3 linked regions of the Alligator mississippiensis genome follow. The protein of the gene in region 1 purifies or fractionates together with the protein of each later gene. This does not show direct contact. Links are inferred from orthologs where the notes say so. Each region holds a gene or a part of one and is shown in the gene's direction. Other genes may lie near its edges. The genes, in order: VGLL4, TEAD4 and IRF2BPL.

Region 1 (8,192 bases):
GTCCCAGTGTCCAGCAGCTGAATTTTGGGGAAAACTACATGTGGTTTGTAAGTAAGTATGGTACTCTGAGGCCTAGTAAAGTGAAAGTTAATTGTAGCCTGTGAGATCGAAAACCCAAAAGCAGAGTCATTTTGCATCAGAGTGAATTGAACGTAGGTGCTGTAGTACTTGAATGATTTCTCAAGCCCATCCCACTTCAAATTTACAAATATAATTTTATTCATAAAAGTTTCTTCCATCTGGAAAGCTGCTTATTGCTCGGTCTGGGGGTAGGTGAGCACAGCTTTAACTGCTAAAAATTTGATGAGCCTCATGACATTTAATTAACAATCTAGGTTTTTAATGGATCATTATAATTGAGTGTGTGCACATGCACGCTCTCACACTCACGCGCGCATGAGCGCTCGCGCACACACACACAAACACACACACACTCTCTTTATTAAAAGGATTGTAGATCTCAGAGAGTGTGGTTATGAGCAGTTTTAAATTATTAGGTACCTAACTTAAGTACCCAGCTACTTTCTTGTGCAGCAAAGTAGGAGCTTTTACACTTCATCTTCTCAATAAAACAGTTTTTTGTTTTATTTTTGCATTAATCTCTGAAACAGTGCTCGTGTCCCTTTAATTGAAAGGAAATACAGGCAGGCATTTTTCAGCAGAGTTTTTCTTATTTCAATTAAAATACTTAGAGGAAGTAATTTTTTTCATCTTTAAATTTTATTCTAAACTAGTAACCTAGGTTTAGTAGAAATAACAGTAATAGAAGTGCCTTGGCATTTTAAAAATGTTTTTGATGAAATGTCATTTTAGGGAGCACTGCTATAAGAGCAGTGTCTCCCCTTTTGACATTCAGGAGAGGTATTAAGGCTAGGTACAGACATTGTACATAAACCACTTTAAGTGGTCAGAAACTGGATTAAACCTGTAACAGAACAGATGTTCAGTGCACATAAACCAGTTTGAAAATGTCTGAAAAATGGTTTGAGATAAACCTGGTTGAATGTAGTATCAGACTTAACTATTTGGCTCAAAACGGTTTATGCAATGTCTGTCCAAGACCCCTTGCTGGTTTAAGTTACATCAGAGTCCACCAGCATCCTGGCAGGCTCTCTGGGCTGGGCAGGGCTCTCTGCTCCATAGCAGAGCTGGCCCCTCCCCTCTGCTCCCTGGCTGGAGTTCAGCACAGACTTGCAGGCACAGCAGGGTGTGCTGGCTTCCCTGTGCCCCCCTCCTCCCCACTCTCGCCACTCGCTGCTTAAGCAGAGATCCCTTTCTCCTCTCTACCACAGCAGGGACCATAGCCAGCATGTGGTAGGCTAGTTAATGCCAAGGTAGGGTGTGTGTGTGTGTGTGTGTGTGTGCGCGCGCGCGTGCGCAATTTCACTGGGATAGGCAAACAGTGACCACTTAGGACTTTTGAAGCTAATCAACAGGCCAGCCAGTAAACTGTTTAAGAAATGTGAAGTAATGTGGAGAGAGGCTTTTGTTTTGCTAATTGGGTGACAAAGACTGTTATCAGTGCCCCTCTTCCCCCCCCCTCCCCCGCCAGGTCTGCCCACACTCCTCCCTTATTGCTGCAGCGGGGGGGGGGGACCATGGTCCCTGAGGCAGAGAGGGGCAGGGAGCAAAATTCGTTTTCCGTCTACGCCACTGGCAGCCGGGTGGCGCCTTGCCCCAAATTGGCCTCTGGCTTTCCCCTCTGCCGGAGGAATAACCCCATCCCTGTCCCCCCAGGGCCCCTGCCTAGCTGTGCCCCCTTCCTGCCACTGCAATGGGAGGGGTCAGGGCCCTTACTGAGGGCAAAAGTCCCTGTCCCACAGTGGGGGAGAGTGAGCCGCTTCCCGGCAAGGGGCTGCACTGTGGGCTTGGGTTGCGTGCGGCAGCGCCAGGGTGTGGAGTGGGCCAGAACCTTGCAAGCCCCCACAGTGCCGCCACACTCCACAGCCGTGCTGCTGACCCCACAGTGCATCGTCGCTGGGAAGCTGTGATGGGCTTCTGCCTGTCAGGCATGCACTGTTCCAGCTGCTGGGTGGGGGTGGTCCTGGCCCAGCCCCCACCGCTTGTTTTATGCCAGGGAAAACCATTGAGGGGGTTTATTCAGCCCCCATTATTCCCCGCTGAGCTTCAGCTGCAGGCCAGCCAGGCAGATGCTGCTGCCAGCATCTGAATAAGCTTCTTCCTACTGGGAGGGGTCTTGCTGCATGCACAGAGAGAGGCTGCTCAACCACAGCTGGGTCAGCTCAGCGTGGCCACCACCACTCTGTGCTTTCTGTTGAGCCTGGCTGCCGCTGGCCTGGAGGACAGAGCGGTGGCAGCTGGGCCGGGCACACCACGTTGTGGTGGAGTGGCCTCTTTCTGTTCTTGCAGTAAGCCCCCTCCCCGCAGGAAGGGAATTATTCAGCTGCTAGCTGCTTAGTCTGCCCAGCCGGGCTGCAGCTGAAACTCAGGGTGGGGGAGAATAACGGGGGCTGAATAAGCCCCATCAGTGGCTTGCCCTGGCACAGAATGGGCAGCAAGGGCTGGGCTTACCCCCGCCTGGCAGCTGGAGCCTGTCATGGCTTCCCGGCGGGGCTGCGCTGTGGGGCCAGCAGAGCGGCTGTGGAGTGTGGTGGTGCTGCAGGGGCTTGCAGGGCTCTGGCCCCAGACCCCAATACTGCTGTGTGCAGCCCGAAGTCACAGCGCAGCCCCTCGCTGGGAAGGGGATCACTTTCCCACACAATGGGACAAGGGCTGCTGCCCCCAGTAAGGGCCCTGGTTCCCTTCTGCTGCAGCGGCAGGGAGGGGGCATTGCCAGGCAGGGCCCCGGGGGGCGGTGGGTGGGCAGGGATGGGGTTATTCCTCCAGTGGAAGGTACACCTGGGGGCCTATTCCGGACAGGGAGCCACGTGGCTGCCAGTGGGGTAGAGAGGAAACAAACTTTGCTCCCTGCCTCACTCTGCCTCAGGGGCCATGGTGCCTCCCTGCTGTAGCAGCGAATAGGAGTGTGGGCAGACCTGGCTTGGGTCCTTGCCAGTGGCACAGAGTGGGAATTAAACCCTGCTCTGGCCAGTTCAGTCTGGGTTGGCCACTCCCTCCCCAGCACAGCTTCTCTGCAGCCGAGGGCTGGCTCTAGTGCCCCCTGTGCCTGGCCTGAGCAACTGCGGGCATGTTTGTCCAGTTACAAACCGGTTCAGCCTAGACAGATTAGACTAACCTGTAAAGGTTGAATCAGCTCAGGCTCTGGCTTTTTGAATGTCTGTCCCTAGCCTGAAAGGCTCCATATCATCAAAAGATGCATGCACTGTACACACTGCCCCTTGCCTCAGAGTGCTAGCCTGGGTCTGGGGGCTGGCAACACTCTTGCCCCTTGAGCAGCCAATGGAGAAAAGCCTGGGACCATGCAGGCAGACATCCCTAATGATAGAGTCCTGCCAGGGCCTGCCCATGTCCCCTCAGCTCATCTCCCTGCAGAAGGGAAGGGAGACCTGCTTTAGTGTGCTGCCCCCCCCCCCCCCCCCCCCCCCCCCCCCCCCCCCCCAGCATCTAGCCTGAGACACTGCAGGCACGTGCCTGAATTTCCTCAGTCCAGAGAGAATGTCTGTGCAGTTTCAAAACAGTTCAGCCTAGTCAGGTTAAACTAACCTGCAAAGTTTGAATCAATTCAGGCTCAGGTTTTTTGAATGTCTGTCCCTAGCCTAAAAGACAGGAATGGAATGTAGGCATCCAATTTCTATTGACAGATGGGTGCCTAGCTCTTTTTGTACCTTTTGAAAATCTCCCCTGAGGTAACCAAGGCAGAAAAGTGATTTGTACAAGGCCACAGACCAGATATTAGAACCCCAGAACTCCATTATGTCTTTGTTCAGACCACACTTTCCTACTGTTGCTTTAGGTGTTAATCTACCACAGGGGATATATAAAGATACCTATTAGGATGACATACCACATAGAAATATCGATACAGATGTTGTTCTTTCTGCGATGATTGGTATACATCTGTATAAACAATTAGAAATCTTTAAGATCAAGGTTTTGAACTGCTGGAAAACAAACCACATCCTGAGATGAGAACAACTATTGTTTTAAAAAAACAAAAATAACAACAACAAAAGTGTCCTTCACCCTGTCATTTAAAATGGTGTTAGAGCAGGCATTTAAAAAAAAAAACTGTAAAATGTTTAACTACAGATCTTTCTTAAGGATTTAAAAAACAACATTAAACTCCAACATAAACTTCACGTGTGTTTATAGATACATATTCCACTATTCAAACAGGTGATTTTTTAAAAATTATAATTCTCATTTTTTCCATATCCTGGCTACTAAGAATCCAGTTTGTTAATATTTCAAATAGTATTACTTTTCAGTGAATTGGCAACATTATTGTGCTATGTTGAAACCTTATCAAATAGTTGCAAATATTTTAATAGTCAAGTAAAAATAAATGTGAGGGGGTGGGAAAAATTATTTAAAGTAAAAAGTTTAAACTCAGTGCTGTCACTTGGAAATCCTTTCTGAACAAGTTAATCCTGTTTCCTTGCAGATTAGCTTGCTCAGTTTCCTCAACTTAGTACTCGGAGGTCTCTGTGTTTTTCTGGACTTTTCCTGTCTCCCTCCCTCTCTGTTTGCAGTGGCAGCACTGCTTCCTGTCAAGAGCAGCTCTGACATGGTTCTTTCTTTACAGACTCTCCACCTCCTCCTTCCTTTTCTTTCACTCAATACATTTAGAGACTGATCTTGTGCAGAAAATATCCTTGACATTTGAAGAGCTCAAGGGATTCAGTGAGCATGCTCAGTTCTCTGTGCCGGATAGAAAGAGGAAGCTAGTTTACATACGAGTCATACCAAGCATAGCCTGCATGTCAGTGCAGTTAACTTGCAGCGGGCTGTGAGCAGAACTAGCGTGGCTTTGTTTTAGGAAATTTCCTTCCTTTCTTTTTCTTTTCTTTTAATTAGACAAAGATTTACAAAAAGGTTTTTAAGAGTCTCCTTTGTAGAAGGACATACAGTACACTTTAAATTTAGCCTAAAAAACCTGGAAGGGTCCTCTTTTTATCCTTCTAAACTGCCTTTTAATATACCTTTTTGATTAATTAAAGGCTGGGCCTTGAGCTTGTGAAGTTTAGAAAGAGCCAAGAGCTACTTAACAGCATCTGTCTGGCTGCTTCTCCCTTTTTCTGGGCGAAAGCAAGCAAGCTGGTCTTTTTTGCTAGCCTGATAAATGCTATTTATGAAGATGGACCTGTTGAACTACCAGTACTTGGACAAGATGAACAACAATATTGGCATTCTGTGCTATGAAGGTAATTGTTTCATTTCACAAACTGCCTTTTGTGGACTGTATTTTACTTTAAGTTGGATTTTTCTCCCCTTTGGTTTATGTTTGTTAACACATGCTTTAGTACTGGCTAAGTGTCAAGTAAAATTTGAATTCTTATTTTCAAAGGAATATTTTCTATTCTTTTGAGCATGACATATAGTTTGGGTTTTTAAAAGCAAAGATGGCACTGATTGAAATACTTTAAATCAAGAACCTTGCTTGTGCACCCAGATACCATTCTGATAGTGTTAATATAGTTGTAAAGGAAATAATTATCATTTTTATAACATGGGTAAAAGCATTAATGTATTATACCTTTATGTGTATAATATAGTCTAGCAAGCGTATACTAAATAAATGCAATAAGCTTTTATTTGTGCTTTATCTTTATTCTACATGCTACATCTACATCTATGCTTTATCTACATTCATAACATATTTTGATACAGGATACTTACAAGTTTTTGTCGTAATTCAGTAATTGGTTTTAAACAGTGAAGAATTTTGCTCCTTTGGTTTTGAGGGTTGTAGGTATCCATATTACTGGGCACGGAGTGGCCTTTTGTTTGACTTCTCATTTTCTATATAGCTCTGAGAGTCCTGACAGTGAAAGATGTTTCTCCCCCATACTCCCACAGACACATACACGCACCTCCTCCCCCAAGAACTATCCCACACTGCAGCCCTTGTGGACGCAATTACACAACAGTCTGGAAAACTTCACTTTTTTGTCTTTGTGTTCTGAGTTTGCTTATTTTGTCCAGCTAACATAGTTTAGTGTCAACTGCTGATACTGTGGGTAATAGTAGCCTTGTTTCAAAGTTACTTTAGGTAATGGGGGAGGGGGTGCAGCTGCGTAGTTTTAGTTGAGCTTTATCTACGTGCAGTTTACAGAACTGGTAATGGCTTGGCTTTGAATGGAAAGAAAGGCACTACTGAGCTAATTCAGCTTGGCAGTAGGACTGTTTTTGCTGTAGCCACATTCAAACATAGCAGAAATCTTTATTCTGATTCAGCAAGAATTTTTTCCAAGTTCATCTGGAAAGTAAACTTGCTGTAAATGACTGTAAAGCAATAAAAATATATATAGATGTGATCAGGAGATATCTGCTCATACCACCTAAGAAAAAACTAGGCCTTAAATCTGGGAGCAGAACCTCACTCTCATAAAATGTCTGCCCTTCATCCTGCTTCAGTCAGAATGGCCATATTTCCTAGCTTGAGAGAATAAAAATGCTCATATGTAGAACTATGAAAGCCTCTACTTTACTTTTCATTTACATAACAATCTTGTAAAAGAATGTACTTGGATAAATCTGCTGTACAAAGAGTGGGTTTAACCAGTTAGTATTGAAAAATACAATGTAGATTGTGTGTGGCCATCTATACTTTCATACTCTTTCCCATTTTGTAGCTTCTTTTTTGAAACTTCTTTGTTGCAAGAAGAAACCAGATAAAAGAATTTTGAGTTTTTTTGGTAAGTTGGTCATCGCCCTGAATTAAAAATGGTGCTTTATTATGACATGACTGCTAGTTTGTAATGAAAATGAATTCTAAATAGAATTTCTGCTTATCGAGGGTACTTCTGGTTTTTTGCGTTTCTCTGACTAAGGGAAAGGGTTTGTTTGTTTTTTCCTTAGGCTTTCATTAATTTCATTCCATTACGTTTATTAGTCAGTACTTTGAAGCTGCTTACCAAACTCTGCTTTCTTATCATTCCTTTTTAAACCTGTTTTTTTGGACAGATCTTACTTTTGGTAGTTGGAAAGCAAAAGACCATCTTAAGGAACACACTCTAATATGTTTTGTTTAGTTTAGATGTCTCTTGCTGTTTTCCTTATTATGGAAGTTAACATTATTTTTTAACACTAAAATAAACATATGGGAAATGAAAAAAGAAAAGCAAAACCTGATTGCTGTTTTATAGTGAGGTGTTTATATCCTAGGGGTTTAAAAAGTATAAACACTGGCCCATATCTCCACTAAACCCTGAAAGGTTATTTTAGAGATGCTTACAGATCTTCCTTGCCACTGCCATGGAATTTTACAGTGGGATTGTCAGCAATGATGGATTCTTTTTAAAGCCACAGCTTGCAGTTGTGGGTGTGGGAGTGTGTGTGTTGAGAACAAAGTGGGGTTTTTTTCAGATTAATTTCTTAGGCTTTGAGGCTCGTACTTGAACTACTTATACATGTGCAAGCACACGCATACATACACACGCATGTGCGCACACACACACTTCCTGGAAAAGTTCTTTTGCAGATGTCAGATAAATATGCATTACATGATGATTATATAATCATGATGAGCTATATATATATAGCTCATCATGATTATAATATATCATGATGATATATATGATATAATCACGTGTCAGGATTTCTAGAAGAGAGGAACAGAATTAGATGCCCATATCCCACTGGAAATTAGTGGAATGTTTGTTTGTTTATTTCATGGGTGTCTTATTCCCTTAGTCTCTCCTGAAAATCTCAGTCCAAGTGTATAGTGTATTACTGCTTTCCTTGGGTTGCTAACTTTTATAGTAGAGTGCATCAAATCTACTTTTAAATAATTACAGTGGCATCATAATTTCATCCGTTTCATTTTCCCTTTTAACATCTCTGCTAAAAGAACAGTGTTGTTTGCCTTCACTTACTGAAACGACTCATGTACCTATGAAATGTACTATTATCACAGAATCATAGAAAATTAGAGTTGGAAGGAACCTTAAGAGGTCATCTAGTCAACCCTGCTGCTCAAAGCAAGACCTTCCCCAACTAGATCATTCTAGATAATGCTTCTTGAGTCAGGCCTTGAAAACCTCCAAGGATAGAGATTCTATCACCTCTCTAGGTGTAATCAGTTCCAGTGCTTTACCACCCTCCTAGTG
Region 2 (8,461 bases), on another chromosome or scaffold:
CCTAGCATAGACCAGGCACTAGAAATTGGGGTGGTTCATAGCCATCAAAAGAGACTGCCTTTTTTCCACTTTCCATTCTTTAGTTTCCCTGAGTAGCCTCAGCTCAGACTTTACTCTCTCTTTGACTCTCAAGAGCAAAATCCCTTAAATAGCTGAATAACCTTCTGCTGAGCACCTGCCAATGAAGTTGACTTGGTGGTGATAGACATCTGGCAGAGGGAAGTAGAGTGGGGCACGGACAGTGAGCAACTGTTGGCCACCGGTTTCAGGGTCTCTTAAAGCTGCAGTCCTCATTTTGGTTCAGTTGTCACTGCACTTTGTGTCATGTTGATAAAGACTGAGGTTGCTACCCCCACTATCTTTATTTTCCTTCTCCAGAGACAGAAGTACACAGCATAGGACCTAGCCCCGGGGGGGGGGGAGGGGGGAATGTTAGGTTGAGAAACAGGAATCCCAGTGACTACAGTTCTGAGTTGAGTCCCTTGATTCCCCATCAGGTTTCTGAGCTACTTACAGATTAGATACTTCCTGTTTAGTATTACCATTTATCTTTTTATTTCCACAGTGTTTACAGGGGCTTTTGTGCATTTTTAAAGTGTAAAATGAGCACCAGTATCTCTGCTGTGGCTTTAGATTAAAACAAAGTCTTGTGGGAAATAGATTCAGTGAGGGGGTTTTCTTTCCTTGAAATCTCAGCTCCAGGAATAACATAAATTAATGAGAATCTCTGCTTTCATGTAAGGAGAAAAAACTTGTAATGTTCGGAGTTGCAGAGAAGAGCTTGAATGCGTGAACCCGAATGACTCGGAAACCAGAAAGGAAAATAACAGGGGCCCCAAATTTATACTTCTTTAAGCAATTTCAGGATTTTCAGGACTGGAGTCCTGATTTTGCCCTTGGACAATGGGAAGCCCCTTGTTATCTTCCCAGCACAGGCCTTGAAATAGAAAAGGTTCTCTGGGTCTGTGGAGGGTGGTGAATGTAGGTAAGGTGCCCTCACCAACTCTGGAGACAGGAGGAGGGTGATCTGCCCCTTTAAAATTGCTTGACCCAGTAGTTTCTTTGATTCTGCTTTTCTCCTTCATTTCTTTCCCCTTTCCCACTATTTTCCCCCTCCCCTTTTTTTTTACTTTTTTTCCTTGGCTTATTACTTGTTTCTCCTGAGTCTTCCTGTATTTCTTCTTCTCCATCACCTCTCTTTCTCCCTTCATTATTATTTGTGTTGTGATAGTGCATATGAGCCTTAATGAAAAGCAAGGCCCTTGTGTTAGGCAAAGCTCAATCACTAAAGAAAGATGATTTCTGGCCTGAAGAGCTTGCAGCTCACATGTGAGGCAAGATTCTGCTCATGCTTTGCTGCACTATCTCCATAGTGCTATCTAGTCTTCCTAATCTCTCTCCCCTTGCCTGCTCCTACTTGTACCCTCCTCTCCTCGCTTCTGGTTTATCTTTTTAATCCCTTGCTTCCTCTTTGCAGTCTCTATCCTGCTTTTCTGTTTTTCCCTCTTTCCCCTTTCCTTTCTCTTCCACCCTCTCTCTACGTATGATATTTATTCACTGCCAGTCTACACTTAGAAATTGTTCCAGAGTAAGTTTAGGCTGTCAGTTTAAGTCATAAAATGTGTTCCAGGTATCTTTCCTATGTAGCAGAGAATCCTTGAGCTTTACACTCTTCTCTGTGTCTTTCATGCTTAAAGTGGGGCCTCGTGGTGCCCCCTCCTAACCCCACTTGCCTTAGCCCTCTTCTGTCCTTTCCTCTCTTCATGAAACAGAGGCTGGGTGCTTCTGAGCTATCTATTGTGCTGTGTGATTTTTTTTTTTTTTTTTTTTTTTCCTACTGCTCAACTTGCTGTACTTGTAACGTGGGATTTTTTATTTTTTTTTTTATTTTTTTTTTAGCACTTTCTTTTTGTATTACAGGACAGACAGCCTAGCTCAGGGTGTGGACCAAGGGCTACATAGGAAGTTTTGATGAGCTTTTGCAGGTCAGGTCAGCAACCTCTCTACCCCTGCAACAACTTACCAAAACTTCATATGGGGCTTTAGGCAGGTGGGGGGCAATGTTTGGGAGCAGGATGGGCAGGTGAGGCTGATCTGCTCCCTGCACACCCTCCCCAGGTGGGGTGGGCCATGTGTGCATGGGGATGTGTGTGGGTTGTGTGTGTGTGTGGGGGGGGGGGCATGTGTGCATGTGTGTAAAGTGGGGGCTGCCTGGGTGCTAGGTTCAGAGCCAATCAGAGCTGAGGACAGGGAGGGGGAAGGGGAGGAGAAGGGGGAAGGGTGCGGTACATGCATCAGAGCTTGACTGGGTGGTGAGGTCTGTAGCTGCCCCTGCAATGCTCCACATGCGGCCAAGCCCCACACAGGGCAACCAGAGCCAGCCCAGCCTTGGTCCCAGCCCTGGCCAGTGAACAGCTTCTGGTGGGGCTGTTCCTAGTGGGGCTGCAGCTGGCGGGGTGCTGCTCGGTTCCCCTTGTCTCCAGTGGGAGTTGTCCAGCTGAAGCTTCCCCCCATCTGCCCACCCAGAGTCTCACAGCAGGGGCAGGAGTGGGAGGAGGAGCAGCTGCTGGAGACAGGTGGAGCAAAGTAACCCCTGGCTGGCTGCAGCCACATTGGGAACTGCTCCACTAGAAGCTGCATGCACTGGCTAGGACATGGGCCAACAGAGCTATTCTACCCCTATTGCTCCACAATAGAGGCTTCTCCTTCTGGTCCTGTCCCTGCTGCACCACTCCTGGCGGGTGGGGGAAGCTTCAGCCAGGCAGCTTCTGCCTTAGCTCATGGGGCTCTGGCTCTAGCACCCAGCTGCCTTCCACCCACTCAGCTGCATAGGTTTCTGTACTTGCACATGGCTGCTTATGGTGCCAGGTGGGTGGAGTGAGTAGAAGGCAGCCCGGAGGTGGAGCTGGAGCTAGAGACCCACACACTGAAGCAGGAGTCATCCAGCTGAAGCTTTCCTCCCCAGCCACCTGGAATAGTTCAGCAGTGAATGGACCAGCAGGAGGAGCCTCCATTGGAGGCAATGGGAGCAGATCAGCTCTGCTGGCCCAGGCCTCTGCCAGTGCATGCAGCTTCCAGCAGGGCTGTTTCCAATGTGGCTGCAGCCAGCCAGGGGCTACCTTGGTCCCCTCGCCTCCAGCAACAGCTTCTCTTCCCATTCCTGCACCTGTTGCACCACTATGGGTTGAGGGGAAGCTTCAGCTAGGTAGCTCTTGCTGGAGGCGAGGGGAACATGGAAACAGCCCCGCTGAAAGCTGCACACGCTGGTTGGGGCTCAGGCCAGCAGGCACAGGCTGGAGTATGGTGTGTGCTGCCCTGGTGGGAGTGGGTGGGTCTAGGCCCCATGCAGAGCACCACGGGGGCAGCCACGGGCTGGATCCCATCAGTTGGCAGTCTAGATCTGGCCTGTGGGCTGTATTTTGCCTGCCCCTGGCCTAGCTAGTTTAAAGGCCCCTAATCTGTGGCTTGTGAATCGCCAGTCCTCTAGTGGCTCACAATGCAAAACAGCAGCCAGTAAATTCACTCTGAAGGAGATACATACTTGTTCAGTGAGCCCCCAAGTAGAGCTTCACAGACTACACGTGCTCCCTGCCTCCCCAGTTTGACCACCTCTGTTTGGCTGGTTTGGTCTTCTCTATTGCAAAGGTTTATAAGATGACTGTTATTATTTGCATGATTTTAATGTCCAGAAGTATGTTGCTGCATAAATACATAATGAGAAGCATCTCTCTGCCCCAAAGCCCTTACGATCTATATAGACAAAATGCATGATACATATTTGGCCCACCAAGGGATTCTTATCTGGCCCATGGCAGGTCCTTCGGCTCCACCTGGCCCAGGTACAGGGAGTAGCCTGAGCTGGTAACACATGAAGCTGGTCCTGCTGTCCCAGGTGCGCAGCGGGGCTGGAATGGCACAGCGTCCGGACTCAGTTCTTGGCAGCCCCTGCAGTGGCAGCTCCTTCCAGCTGCTGCTGCCAGTCTCTGCTGCTACCTCCAGGCACCTCTGCCTGTCCACCCCGCACCCACCGCTGGCAGCATCAGATGGAGTAGCTGGGCAGAGTCTCCATGGAGACTGGCCCAGGATGCCGTGGGTTGGGTGTACTTAGCCAGGTGGATGAGATGGGACCACAGACAGGTGGGGAGCAGCATCAGGGAGCGGAACGGGTGGACAGGGCAGAGCCACTTAAGAAGTTTTGGTGAGCTGTTGCAGGGCAAGGGGGGTGCTGACCTGGCCCACAACAGCTCACCAAACCCCCCTAAGTGGTCCTCCAGCCCAAATAAGTACCCCGCCCCCTGCACTAGTCCATCAGGCTTTTAAGGAACTTGTTTGGAAAATGGCTTCCGCTTCTTGGGAAGCAGACAAGTCAGTGTTTAAAAACGACACCACTCACTCGCTCCAACCCAGTGAAACTGTACCCAAGAAAATTCCAACCTCAGTCCTGAGCGATGACTAGATAATTCATCACGGCTTTATGTTGTGTAGTGTCTTTCACACTGACTGAGTCCTGCCTGCTTTGGATCGTTAAATAATGCATTTACAAAGATAATGAATGCAGAGGGAAAGAGAAATTAAGAACAAGGGCAAGGAAGAGAGTGGGTGTGTTTTCTGATAAGAACTGGAAGTAGATGGCAAGCTAATGAACAAAGGCAATACCAGGAAGGCTATTCTGAGCAGAGCCTGCTGCCGAGGAGAAGGTTCTCTTCTGGTTGGTGGAGATCTTGTGTGCATTTCTGCATATTTTATTGTGTCAACTAAAGACAGTCTTCACAGTCTGATCCTGGAAGAGCCAAAGGCCTGTGACCAGCCCAGGGTCTCAAAACAGGGGCAACACTGAGCTGTTTTTCTTATACTCTGTTAGCGTTCATGGTGAAAAGATTCACTGAGTGAGACGGAGTATGTTTGCCCTTTTAGGTTCGGTGGCTGCTTCTCCAAGTGGCGCCTTGGAGTTTCTAACTGGCACCATTACCTCCAACGAGTGGAGTTCTCCCACCTCCCCTGAGGGGAGCAACGACTCAGGGGGCAGTGAGGCCTTGGACAAGCCGATCGACAATGATGCTGAGGGTGTGTGGAGTCCGGACATTGAGCAGAGCTTCCAGGAAGCGCTAGCCATTTACCCGCCATGTGGGCGGCGGAAGATCATCCTGTCGGATGAGGGCAAGATGTACGGTAAGGAGAACAGCTGGGGGAGTTTTATCACCCTGGGGAGAAGGAAGATCTCTGTCAACCATCAGGTCTGCCATGTGTGCTGCTGTGAGAGAGATCCCAAATGATGCAGCAGCTCAGGTTAAATATGTTTGGCAAAGAAAAGCAAAGAGGAATAAGAAAAGTGGATCAAAGTGGCATTTAAAAGAAACTTTTTCAGAAAAGACTCCTCAAGTTTTTAACTAAAGTACGGCATGTTTATCATGTTTTTCATGTTTATCATGTTTTTGATAAAGGTTTTGGTGAAGTCTAATACAGTGGCTCAATGAATGCACTCATGCTATCTTTGAAATGTAGCTCATGCTGTCATTGTTAGGTTCTCCCTAACTTTAAGTGGTGGAAGTCTGTGGTTTTGGTGCTGAAGATCCTAGGTTCAAACCTTCAATGATGGTCTCCGATCGTGGTAGCTATGTTAGTGCCCATGTCACATAGTCCTTGAAAGGGGAACTTTTTTTAGCATAAATTGAGTATGAATTCCCCTCTCTCCACTTCCCCATGATGGTCTTTTGCCTCCTGTCTGCCTGAGTATATGCATTTTTTCATCTTTAATTTGCTTTCTGCCAGGACATAAAGAAGATTAGACCTAAACTGTTCTCAGTGATGGCAGATGACAGAACAAGGAGCAATGGTCTCAAGTTACAGCAAGGAAAGTTTAGGTTGGATATTAGGAAAAACTTTCTCTCTAGGAGGGTGTTGAAGCACTGGAACAGGTTACCTAGAGTGGTAGTAGAATCTCTATCCTTGGAGGTTTTTAAGGCCCAGCTTGACGAAGTCCTGGCAGGAATGATCTAATTGGGGCTGGTCCTGCTTTGCACTGGGGGTTGGACTAGATGATCTCTTGAGGTCCCTTCCAACTCTAATTTTCTATGATGCTATGATTCTGAGATGAATCATAGCATGAAATCTCCTCAGGTCAAGAATAAAGAGAGGCCTTGTCCTTCAAGTGCAAAAGGGGTGATAGGAAAAGATGATTTAAGGTCATTTTAAAATTGTTCTTTACCCCTCTTTGCCAAAAACAGCTAGTGAAAACATTTGCTGTCCAGGGCCATGGAAACCCTGGACCATGGAAACCCAAAAAGGCAGTGTACACCTGGTGGAAGGGGGGGGGGGGGGGGGCTTATCTCCAAAGAAGAGTATACCTCCATTGCTTGGGCCTGTAGGGGGGCTGTTAGGAAAGCTAAGGCAGATATAGAGCTAGGACTAGCGTCCAAGATCAAAGATAATAAGAAGTCCTTTTTCAAATATATAGGGAGGATGAAGAAGGCACCAGGAAATGTGGGGCCCCTGCAAGATGTGCTGGGCAATCTGATAGTTGCACCAGAGGAGAAGGCAGACATCTTTAACAAATTCTTCACCTCCATTTTCTTGTGCAGGGACCGGGACTCCCCCACGGTGTTTCAAGACAGACTCGAGGGGAACGCCTCAAGACCTAAGGTTGAGGTGGACCGGGTTAGAGTGCTTCTGGAGGGGCTGGACGTGTTCAAGTCAGCAGGTCCAAATGCTCTCCACCCCAGGGTGTTGAGGGAACTAGCAGGGGTTATTGCTGGGCCCTTGGCACGGCTTTACGAGCACGCGTGGTGCTCAGGCCAGGTGCCAGATGATTGGAAAATAGCCAATGTGGTCCCCATCTTTAAGAAAGGGAGGACCCAGGCAACTATAGGCCCGTCAGTCTTACCTCAATCCTGGGGAAACTTTTTGAGAAGATCATCAAGGAGCACATCTGTGACGGGCCGGCATCGGGGATGATGCTCAAGGTCAACCAGCACGGTTTCATTAAGGGCAGATCATGTCAGACCAACCTGATTGTCTTTTACGATCAGGTCACAAAAGCATTGGATGCAGGTGTCGCCGTGGATGTAGTCTTTCTGGACTTCGGCAAGGCCTTTGACACTGTCTCCCACCCCATGCTCATTAAAAAACTAGGCGACTGTGGCATCGATGCCTGCACGGTCAGATGGATTGCTAATTGGCTGAAGGGTCATATTCAGAGGGTGGTGGTGGATGGGTCATATTCGACCTGGGAGAAAGTGGGCAGTGGAGTCCCCCAGGGCTCGGTCCTTGGGCCCACACTGTTCAATTTCTTTATCAGCGATTTGGACAACAGGGTGAAAAGTAACCTGTTCAAATTTGCTGATGATACCAAAATTTGGGGTGAGGTGGGCACGCTAGTATGGAGGGAAAGACTGCAGAAAGACCTGGATAGGTCGCAAGGGTGGGCTAACAAAAGCAGGATGCATTTCAATACAGAAAAGTGCAGAGTGCTGCACTTGGGCAGTAGTAACCGGCAACACACTTATAAGATGGGAAACTCCCTTCTTGAGAGCACGGAGGCAGAAAGGGATCTTGGAGTCATCACTGACTCCAAGATGAACATTGAGAGGGTCCAGAGGAGGGCCACCTGCATGATCCGGGGACAGCAGGGCAGACCCTACAATGAGAGGCTATGGGACCTGAACCTGTTCAGCCTTCACAAGAGAAGGCTGAGGGGGGACCTTGTGACTGTCTATAAACTCACTAGGGGGGACCAGAAGGGTTTGGGGGAGACCTTGTTTCCCCTAGCGCCCCCTGGGATAACAAGGAATAACGGCCACAAGTTGTTGGAGAGTAGGTTCAGATTAGACATCTGTAGGAACTACTTCACAGTTAGGGCGGCTAGGATCTGGAACCAACTTCCAAGGGAAGTGGTGCTGGCACCTACCCTGGGGGTCTTTAAGAAGCGGCTCGATGCCTACCTGGCTGGGGTCATTTGAGCCCAGTTGCCCTCCTGCCCAGGCAGGGGGTTGGACTTGAAGATCTACAAGGTCCCTTTCGACCCTACTTCTATGATTCTATGAAACCAGGTGCAAGTTGTGATCTAGAGATGGAGCAGATCAGCCCAGTCATCTTGTAGAGTAAATGAGTTAAGTATCTTGACCTAGTCAACAATCAAGTGACTAATAGTAAAAATCTCTAGTAGACACAAGCTTTGGGAATTAAGGGTATTTATACATGTGCTCCAGGAGGCAGTAGAAGGGGTACTGTAATTAAAGTACAAGAGCTGCTCTAATTAAAGCACCTGGAGCATCAGTTGTAGTAGCATACGCACGTGTATAGGTGCCCTATGATCCTAGTGCTGTTGTGGTAAAATCAAAGCAGATTTCAGCAGTTAAAAGTGCCTGGGGGAAACCATTTGTCCTTTCACTAACCAGAATCTCATATGAGGTCACCTCCCCCCCCCCCGCCCCCACAAAGAGATTTTCTCTCAGACAGTTGACTC
Region 3 (7,577 bases), on another chromosome or scaffold:
GTTTACTACGTCCCCAGGATGTAAGCTGAATACAGTCAATGAGTAAAATAAAAATAACAACAGTGGCAAACCCAGGCTCACAAGGGGTGCAGTCCAGGGGTATCTAGGCTCTTTCAGAGCAAACAGAAATAATGATGGGTGTCTAATTTTGCACTGTAAGATTTGGCAAATGTGGGCACCTGGAAATCTGGGCCCACAGATTATTTAAAAAAGCCATAAATACAGTTGTATGAAAAGGGAAGCAGGGCTGCTTTCTGGGGAAGAAGTGGAACTTTTGCATGGTTTGGGGGGGAAACCAAGTTACCTATTTTGTACAGTGGGATCACGTAGTTAGTAGCGAAAGGGCCCCAGGAAGACAGACCCCCCTAGCAAGCCGTGCTCTGTGGTGGCAAAGGAGAAACAGCACTGTGAAAAGAAAAGAAAAGAAAAAAAGAAAATTAGCAGTGAAACCTCCTAGAAATAGAGCGCGGGACATAAGCCTCACTTACAAAGTGGTAAGCTCCAGCATGTAGAGAAACCAGTGGCAGGTTTAGAACAGAGAAAGAAAGGAAGGTGCATTCCTAGGCAGGAGGCTGGAAAGAAGGCCTGCAGACAGCAACAAGCCCCCGGAGCTGGAGTATTTTCGAATAGGGCCTGTAATCTGCAGAGAACTGGTAACTGAAACGATAAACAGAAACACGTAATTACACTCTTGCTCTTTGTAACTACGTGTTTTGACACTTCCTGGCAGTTTGCAGCAGAAGACGCTGCTGTTTCACTTTTAATTTGACAAAATTGTGGAAGTCCCTCCCCCAGTATTTGCGATGCCGTTTCAGGAGCACACTCCCCTGCACGCCTCAGCGCTTTCCAGGGTTCACCTCTTCACTGGTTTCAAGCCAGGCACTTGCTTGGGAGCGACTGCGGTTGCCGGTTGCCGCGCTGCGCCAGGGGAGATCTCTGCACTGGCCGGGCTCTGTCACGATTTCTCTTCCTTCCTGTGCCCCCTCCCCGCCCCTGCGTTGCAGCTGGAGCTGCTGCTTTGATCCCGGGGCAGGGCCACGAGAGAGGACAGATCTGATTAACACCCCCTCCCCCTTTCTGAGGTGAGCTCCTCAGGAAGGAAGAGTGTCCTTGTAGCGGCCGGGCTGCTACGTGCGGAGCGAGCCCTTGGCCCGGCCCGATCTGGGAACGGATCCGGGCTACACGTCTCATGGCAATTCCGCTTGGTTCACGGCGTCCTCATGGCTCGTGCCGAAAACCTTGGGGCTGCCGCAGGCAAGGGCTCGGTAGCAATCAGTGCTGCTCTCCCAGGGACCTCAGCCGTCCCCCCAGTGCATTTGCAAGCTGTGGCAGGGGGCTGAGCCCAGGCGAGTGCTTCCTGCCTTGGTAGGACATTGTCCTCCATGCTTGCTGCGTGTGCAGGGTCGGCCGGGTCGTGTGTCCTCTGATCTGTTTGCTTCCCTTGCTCAGATCAGAGCTTCACCTCTCGTCAGTCATGAACCTGGGGACGGGGATCGAGCGAGAGGACCCGTGGGGCCGGAACCTTCCTGCCCGGAACTGGCAGATGCTCGTGTTAGCCAGAGGGACGCCCTGGCCCCGGGGCTGCTGGCAGGTCACTCATCAGGGACCGGGGCCAGGGCCTCCCGATCGCGGCCCCTCGGCTCGGGCCGCGCCCGGCCACCAGCCCCCGCCGCTGGCGCTGCCGGGCTGCGTGTGTGCTGGCACCGGGGCACACACCTGGGAGACTTCCTTGCCTGGGCTCTTGCCTTTCCTCCTGCTTCTCCTCCACACGCGCTTTAATTCCAGGATTATTGCAGAGCTAAAGAAACATCTCTCTGGCTGAGTGGCGGCCCAAGGAGACTCACCCGGCTTCCTGCCGCCCTGCTCCTGGCCGGCGAAAGGACAGCGCGGTGGGAGAGGCGCCCTGCCGCCCTTGAGGGAGATTTTAGCGTTGACTGTTAGGTTGGCATCGTTCACTCTGCTCCCCTCCAGCAGCCCAGATGGGTCCTGCCCGGCCGCTCGGTGCCGCCGCCTCCCAGGCAGGGACCCCCGGGGCCCCGCTTCAAAGCCGGGTTTAATCATCACGGGAAAAGAAATCCCCGCTCCCACCAGCGCATCCTTCCCGGAAGAGGAAAGGCCGCGGAGCCGGCTCACACGTGCTAATCGCCCATCTTTTTCTGTTCCCAGACTAGAAAGGGAGTTGCCAGCACCCGTGAGCGCTTTGCTGAGGCTAGATCTGCTCTCTGGTTATTGTTTCCCTGCGCTGGTCTCGTGAGCCCGGGGCCTGGCCGCTCCTGCGGGGAGCCTGGGGCTTTCCCGCAGTTAGGAGTCAGAGGAGCCAGGGCGAGGGAGCGCCTTGGCATTTGTGGAGTGAAATCCAGCTCCACTCCTCTCGCATCCCCTTCCCAGAGAGCCAGGGCCGGGGGGACCTCTGCTTCCTCGGCTGGCATGATTTAGGCAAAGGGAAGACTTTTTTTTCTCATCGCCCAATTCTGTTGCTTACGTGCAGATCACAGAGCAGGGGGAAGGGGAGAGGGGGTTGCCCTTCAGGTCTGTGTGACAGCGAGCACATCGTGTTCAGACAAGTCCAGTGACATGGAGGGGAAGCCCCGCAGCCTTCCCCAAGCCCCCCGGGGCGCTGCGAGGAGAGGCCGCTCGCCCCCCGCCTCCACCTGCCTCGCTGGACTCCGCTTCAATGAAGCCTTGATATTGTCCGCAGCCTGGGTATGACACTCCTCCATGTGCAAACCATCCCCCGGGAGTTCATCTCCTACAGAAATTGTGCACGCGAGAGACTTAGCTCATCCAAGGACTTTCGGTTTTCCTTTCTACCTCGTTGCCCCATGAGCTGCCCCTTTGGAAAAATGATGGCACCTGGTCAGAGCTGGCTGGATCGGAGCCCGTCCCTTCTGTAGCTTTACGGCCTGCGTTTCAGGTCGCTTTTTCTCTTAAAAAAAGCCGGACATATCATTTCACATCAAGTTTGCCGGCTTTAAGAGCCCTGGACGTGGCCCTGAGAAGCAGCGGGGATTTGAAGGGAATCACGTTATTTGAAGAAACTTGAACAGAGCTGATACCCCGCTGGTCCCTCTTTCACGAGGCACGAAGCACTGCGTTGTTAATACTGTACGTTTTTGTGGAGAGGGGACATGGCGCCATGCCACAGAAATTAGAGCGGCCTTTGCAGGAGAGGGAGAGAAATCAAAAGGCCATTTTTTTTGTTCTCTTCTGCGTTCAATGAAGGCGAGCTGAATGAGGAGCAAAAACAAGAGAGGGGTTATCCGGCGTGACCAGCTGCAGCGTTACAGCTCGGGGAGTGCAGCAATGTTTCCCTGGCGAGGGGGAGTCACCCTGGGAGCGAGCTACATGGTGCGACCAGTGACGCAGGGCCCTGGGCACAGGAGCGCGCCAGGCTCGGGCCGCGGGGGTGGGGGGCCTGGGGCCGGGGCTTGCGGACGCTGCAGCCGCAACCTCCGCCCGGCCACGGCCACGGCCACGGCCACGCTCCAGCGTCACAGCTGCAGCCTCGAAAATAAAGCGCGTTTTCCCCTGCGAGTGCGACGCGTTCACAGCGCATTTGCATGACCTGGAGCGGCTGCTGACCAGCGCAGCCCGAGAAGGAAAACGAAAGCTCGGCGCTGCCCCTGCGTGGGGGGATCCGGCGGCCCTCCCCTGGGGGTCACCAGCCCGGCCGCGCCCAGCCCCGCCCCGCCCCGCCCCGCCCCCTGCGGCTCTGGCAGCCGGGCCCGGCTCATCTGACAGCCAGGAGCGGGCAGCCCCCTGCGGCCGGCACTGCACGAAGTGCGTGTCCTCCTGCGGCCGGGCTGCTCCGCATGTGCTTCCCGGCCGCCTCCTGGCTCGGGAGGAGCTGCCGGGGGGCTGGGAGCGGGAGCGAGTTCGTGTCTGAGTTTCCAAACATAGCCCTCGGTGCGTCTCTCCCGCTGCCTCAGCTGTCGCGCAGCCGGGAGGGAGGAAGCGGGCAGCGGGCCGAGCATGCGCAATTTCCGCGCAACAAGTGGCCTCCGCGTCCGTAGGCAGAGGAAGTGGGGGGAGGGGAGGGAGGCTGGAAAGGGGAACTGCGGCGGGGGGCGGGGCGGAGCGGGCGTGACGCGAGGGCTCCACCCCGGTGGCATCCGCGCCGCGCCGGGCGGGGGGGGCGGGGCCACGCCGGACGCGACACACTCCGGATTCCGAGCGCGAGCCCCGAGCAGCGGCGAGATGTGAGTGCGGAGCAGGCGGCGCCGCTCGCCAGCAGCGCGGAGAGCGGGCCCGGCCCGGGCGGCTCCTCCCGCGGGTCCCCGGGTAAAAGGCGCCGGGTAGAAGGCCGCCCCCCCTCGCCCCCCGCGCGGAGGAGGAGCCGCCGCCGAGAGCCAGAGCGAGAGCGCGCCGGGAAACAGCGGCGAGAAGGCGACCCCAGCCCAGCCCAGCCAGCCCCCCGGCGGAGCGGCGCGGAGCGGGAGCGGGAGCAGGCGACGCTGCCGGCGCCAGGTAGCAAGAGGGCAGCGCTGTCCGGCAGCAGCGGCGAGCCGAGCCCCCGCCGCCAGGGCCCGCGGGAGCCGGCACGGGGAGCGCCGCCGCCCGCGGCACCATGTCGGCCGCGCAGGTGTCGTCGTCGCGGAGACAGTCGTGCTACCTGTGCGACCTGCCCCGCATGCCCTGGGCCATGATCTGGGACTTCACGGAGCCCGTGTGCCGCGGCTGCGTCAACTACGAGGGCGCCGACCGCATCGAGTTCGTCATCGAGACGGCGCGGCAGCTCAAGCGGGCGCACGGCTGCTTCCAGGACGGGCGCTCGCCGGGCCCGCCGCCGCCCGTCGGGGTCAAGGCGGTGCCGCTGTCCGCCAAGGAGGCGGCGGCGGCGGCGGCAGCGGCCCAGCAGCAGCAGCAGCAGCAGCTGAACCACGTGGACGCGTCAGCCAAGGCCGCCTCGGCGGGGCTGGCGCCGGCCGGCCTCGAGCGCTACGGGCTGAGCGCGGCGGCGGAGCCGCGCGGCCGCTTCGAGTACCCGCCGCCGCCGGGCAGCCTGGCCGCCCGCCTGCCCAACGGGCTGGGCGGCCCGAACGGCTTCCCCAAGGCGCCTGAGGACGGGCCGCCCGAGCTGAACCGCCAGAGCCCCAACTCCTCGTCGGCCTCGGCGGCGGCGTCGTCGCGGCGCGGCGCGCACGGCGGACTGGTGGCCGGGCTGCCGCCGGGCGCGGGCGGCGCCGGGCTGAGCGTGCCGCCCAACCTGCTGCCGCAGACGCTGCTGAACGGCCCGGCGGCCGCCGGCGTGGCGCTGCCTCCCCCGCCGCACGGCAGCCTGAGCGGGCGCGGCGGCGGCGGCCCCCCCGCGGCCTCGGGCTCGGCGCCGGCGGGCGCGTGCGGCGCGGGGCCGGGCGGCGCGGGGCCGGGCGGCGGCGGCGGCGGCGGGCCGGGCCCCGGCGCGGCGGGCGACAAGCGGCCCGGCTCGGTGTCCAGCAGCGAGCAGGAGCGCGAGCTGAAGGAGAAGCAGCGCAACGCCGAGGCGCTGGCCGAGCTGGGCGAAAGCCTGCGCAACCGCGCCGAGGAGTGGGCCAGCAAGCCCAAGCTGGTGCGCGACACGCTGCTGACGCTGGCGGGCTGCACGCCCTACGAGGTGCGCTTCAAGAAGGACCACACGCTGCTCGGCCGCGTCTTCGCCTTCGACGCCGTGTCCAAGCCGGGCCTGGACTACGAGCTGAAGCTCTTCATCGAGTACCCCAGCGGCTCGGGCACCGTCTTCTCCAGCGCCTCGGGCGTGGCCAAGCAGATGTACCAGGACTGCATGAAGGACTTCGGGCGCGGCCTGTCCTCGGGCTTCAAGTACCTGGAGTACGAGAAGAAGCACGGCTCCGGCGACTGGCGCCTGCTGGGCGACCTGCTGCCCGAGTCCGTGCGCTTCTTCAAGGAGCTGGTGGGCGCCGACATGCTGCCGCAGCCCTACCTGGACGCCAGCTGCCCCATGCTGCCCACGGCGCTCGTCAGCCTGCCCCGGCCGGCCGGCGGCCCCGCGGCGGGGCAGGGCGCGGCGGCCGGCTCGGCGCGGGGCCCGGGCGGCGGCGGCGGCGGCGGCGGCGGGGGTGGGCTGCGCAAGAGGAAGGCGTCCCCCGAGCCGCCGGACTCGGCCGAGGCGGGGCTGAAGCTGAGCGAGGAGCAGCAGCGGCAGCAGTGGATGGCCAGCCAGAGCGAAGCGCTCAAGCTCACCATGGCGGCGGGCGGCTTCGGCGCCGTGCACGGCGGAGGCCCGCCGCCGCCGCCGCCGCCGCTGGGCCCGCACCCCAACCGGACCACGCCGCCCGAGGCGGCCCCGCAGAACGGGCAGTCGCCCATGGCGGCGCTCATGTCCGTGGCCGACACGCTGGGCACGGCGCACTCGCCCAAGGACGGCAGCTCCGTGCACTCCACCACGGCCGGCCGCCGGAACAGCAGCAGCCCCGTGTCCCCCGCCTCGGTGCCCGGCCAGCGCCGCCTGGCCTCGCGCAACGGCGACATGAACCTGCAGGTGGCCCCCCCTCCCCCTAGCGCCCACCCTGGCATGGACCCCGTGCACCCCCAAAACATTCCCGACTCGCCCATGGCCAACAGCGGCCCCCTCTGCTGCACCATCTGCCACGAACGCTTGGAGGACACGCACTTCGTGCAGTGCCCGTCCGTGCCCAGCCACAAGTTCTGCTTCCCCTGCTCCCGAGAGAGCATCAAGGCCCAGGGGGCCACGGGCGAGGTCTACTGCCCCAGCGGAGAGAAATGCCCCCTTGTCGGTTCCAACGTGCCTTGGGCGTTTATGCAGGGCGAGATCGCCACCATTTTAGCCGGGGACGTGAAAGTGAAAAAGGAGAGAGACCCTTGAACTAGGCCGCCCAGCCCCTCCCTCCAGGCTCCTGAACCTGTAGAATTGTGAATATAACGGACTGCAACAAAGTTAGTCTGATGTATAGACATTATTTTCGTCGTACGTTTCTATATTTTGAAACAAAGGTATGTACTCTTCTTCATTTGAAGGATAGAGCTGGTTTTTGTTAAACAGAATATAATATTGTTTGGTTACTCCATAAGCCCTGGTCTCATTTCTTTGGCAGTGTGTTGGCTAGGTACACAGTTAATAGCCCTTAGCGATTACCTGCTGCTGGTGTGTATTTTTGTAAATGTATGCACTTCTCTGACAGAAGAAGAAGAAGAAAAAAGAAAAAAATACAACTTTTTTTTTTTGCCAAGGCCAGTGTTGACGCCTAAAAAAAAAAAAAAAAAAAAAAAATTGCTACAAAAATGGTGACAGCTTACGTTTTACAAGCCCTGAGTGTTAGTCCTTCACTTTCTTTCTTTCTGTTTTCGTTTTTTCGTTGGCAAAAAAAAAAAAAAAAAAAGGTGGGGGTGGTCGGGGGGGGGTGTTTTTTCGTTGCAAGTTTGTAAGGAAAATGTTTCAGTTTGTTTCTATTGATCTGAACGTTTTTAATCTTCATGTGTTTTTTGTTTTTGCTTTATTGATGCACGGATGCTTTTGAACAGTAGAGCAAAATGCTGTACATGGAAAACATGCTCTGTTTGTCCTTTATACATTTCTGTAGTTAACAGAACACTGTAATGTGCCTTGGAGCTTAGTAAAT

What was found.
Region 2: the proteins of VGLL4 (region 1) and TEAD4 purify together in Homo sapiens (co-immunoprecipitation; 5 studies listed by BioGRID and IntAct, counting the BioPlex papers as one, with this or other methods). This does not show direct contact. The link is inferred for Alligator mississippiensis from reciprocal best matches to the Homo sapiens genes VGLL4 and TEAD4.
Region 3: the proteins of VGLL4 (region 1) and IRF2BPL purify together in Homo sapiens (affinity purification with mass spectrometry; 3 studies listed by BioGRID and IntAct, counting the BioPlex papers as one, with this or other methods). This does not show direct contact. The link is inferred for Alligator mississippiensis from reciprocal best matches to the Homo sapiens genes VGLL4 and IRF2BPL.

What each region holds. Positions count from the first base shown.
Region 1 is NC_081835.1:32,363,405-32,371,596, forward strand, and holds the start of VGLL4 (transcription cofactor vestigial-like protein 4), read left to right. Parts: upstream 1-4,756; 5' UTR 4,757-5,203; coding exon 5,204-5,285; intron 5,286-5,760; exon of another isoform or gene 5,761-5,922; intron 5,923-8,192. UniProt on the Homo sapiens protein: May act as a specific coactivator for the mammalian TEFs.
Region 2 is NC_081827.1:143,817,015-143,825,475, reverse strand, and holds the start of TEAD4 (transcriptional enhancer factor TEF-3), read left to right. Parts: upstream 1-4,898; coding exon 4,899-5,169; intron 5,170-8,461. UniProt on the Homo sapiens protein: Transcription factor which plays a key role in the Hippo signaling pathway, a pathway involved in organ size control and tumor suppression by restricting proliferation and promoting apoptosis.
Region 3 is NC_081825.1:262,646,935-262,654,511, reverse strand, and holds the start of IRF2BPL (probable E3 ubiquitin-protein ligase IRF2BPL), read left to right. Parts: upstream 1-4,184; 5' UTR 4,185-4,567; coding exon 4,568-6,823; 3' UTR 6,824-7,577. UniProt on the Homo sapiens protein: Probable E3 ubiquitin protein ligase involved in the proteasome-mediated ubiquitin-dependent degradation of target proteins. Through the degradation of CTNNB1, functions downstream of FOXF2 to negatively regulate the Wnt signaling pathway.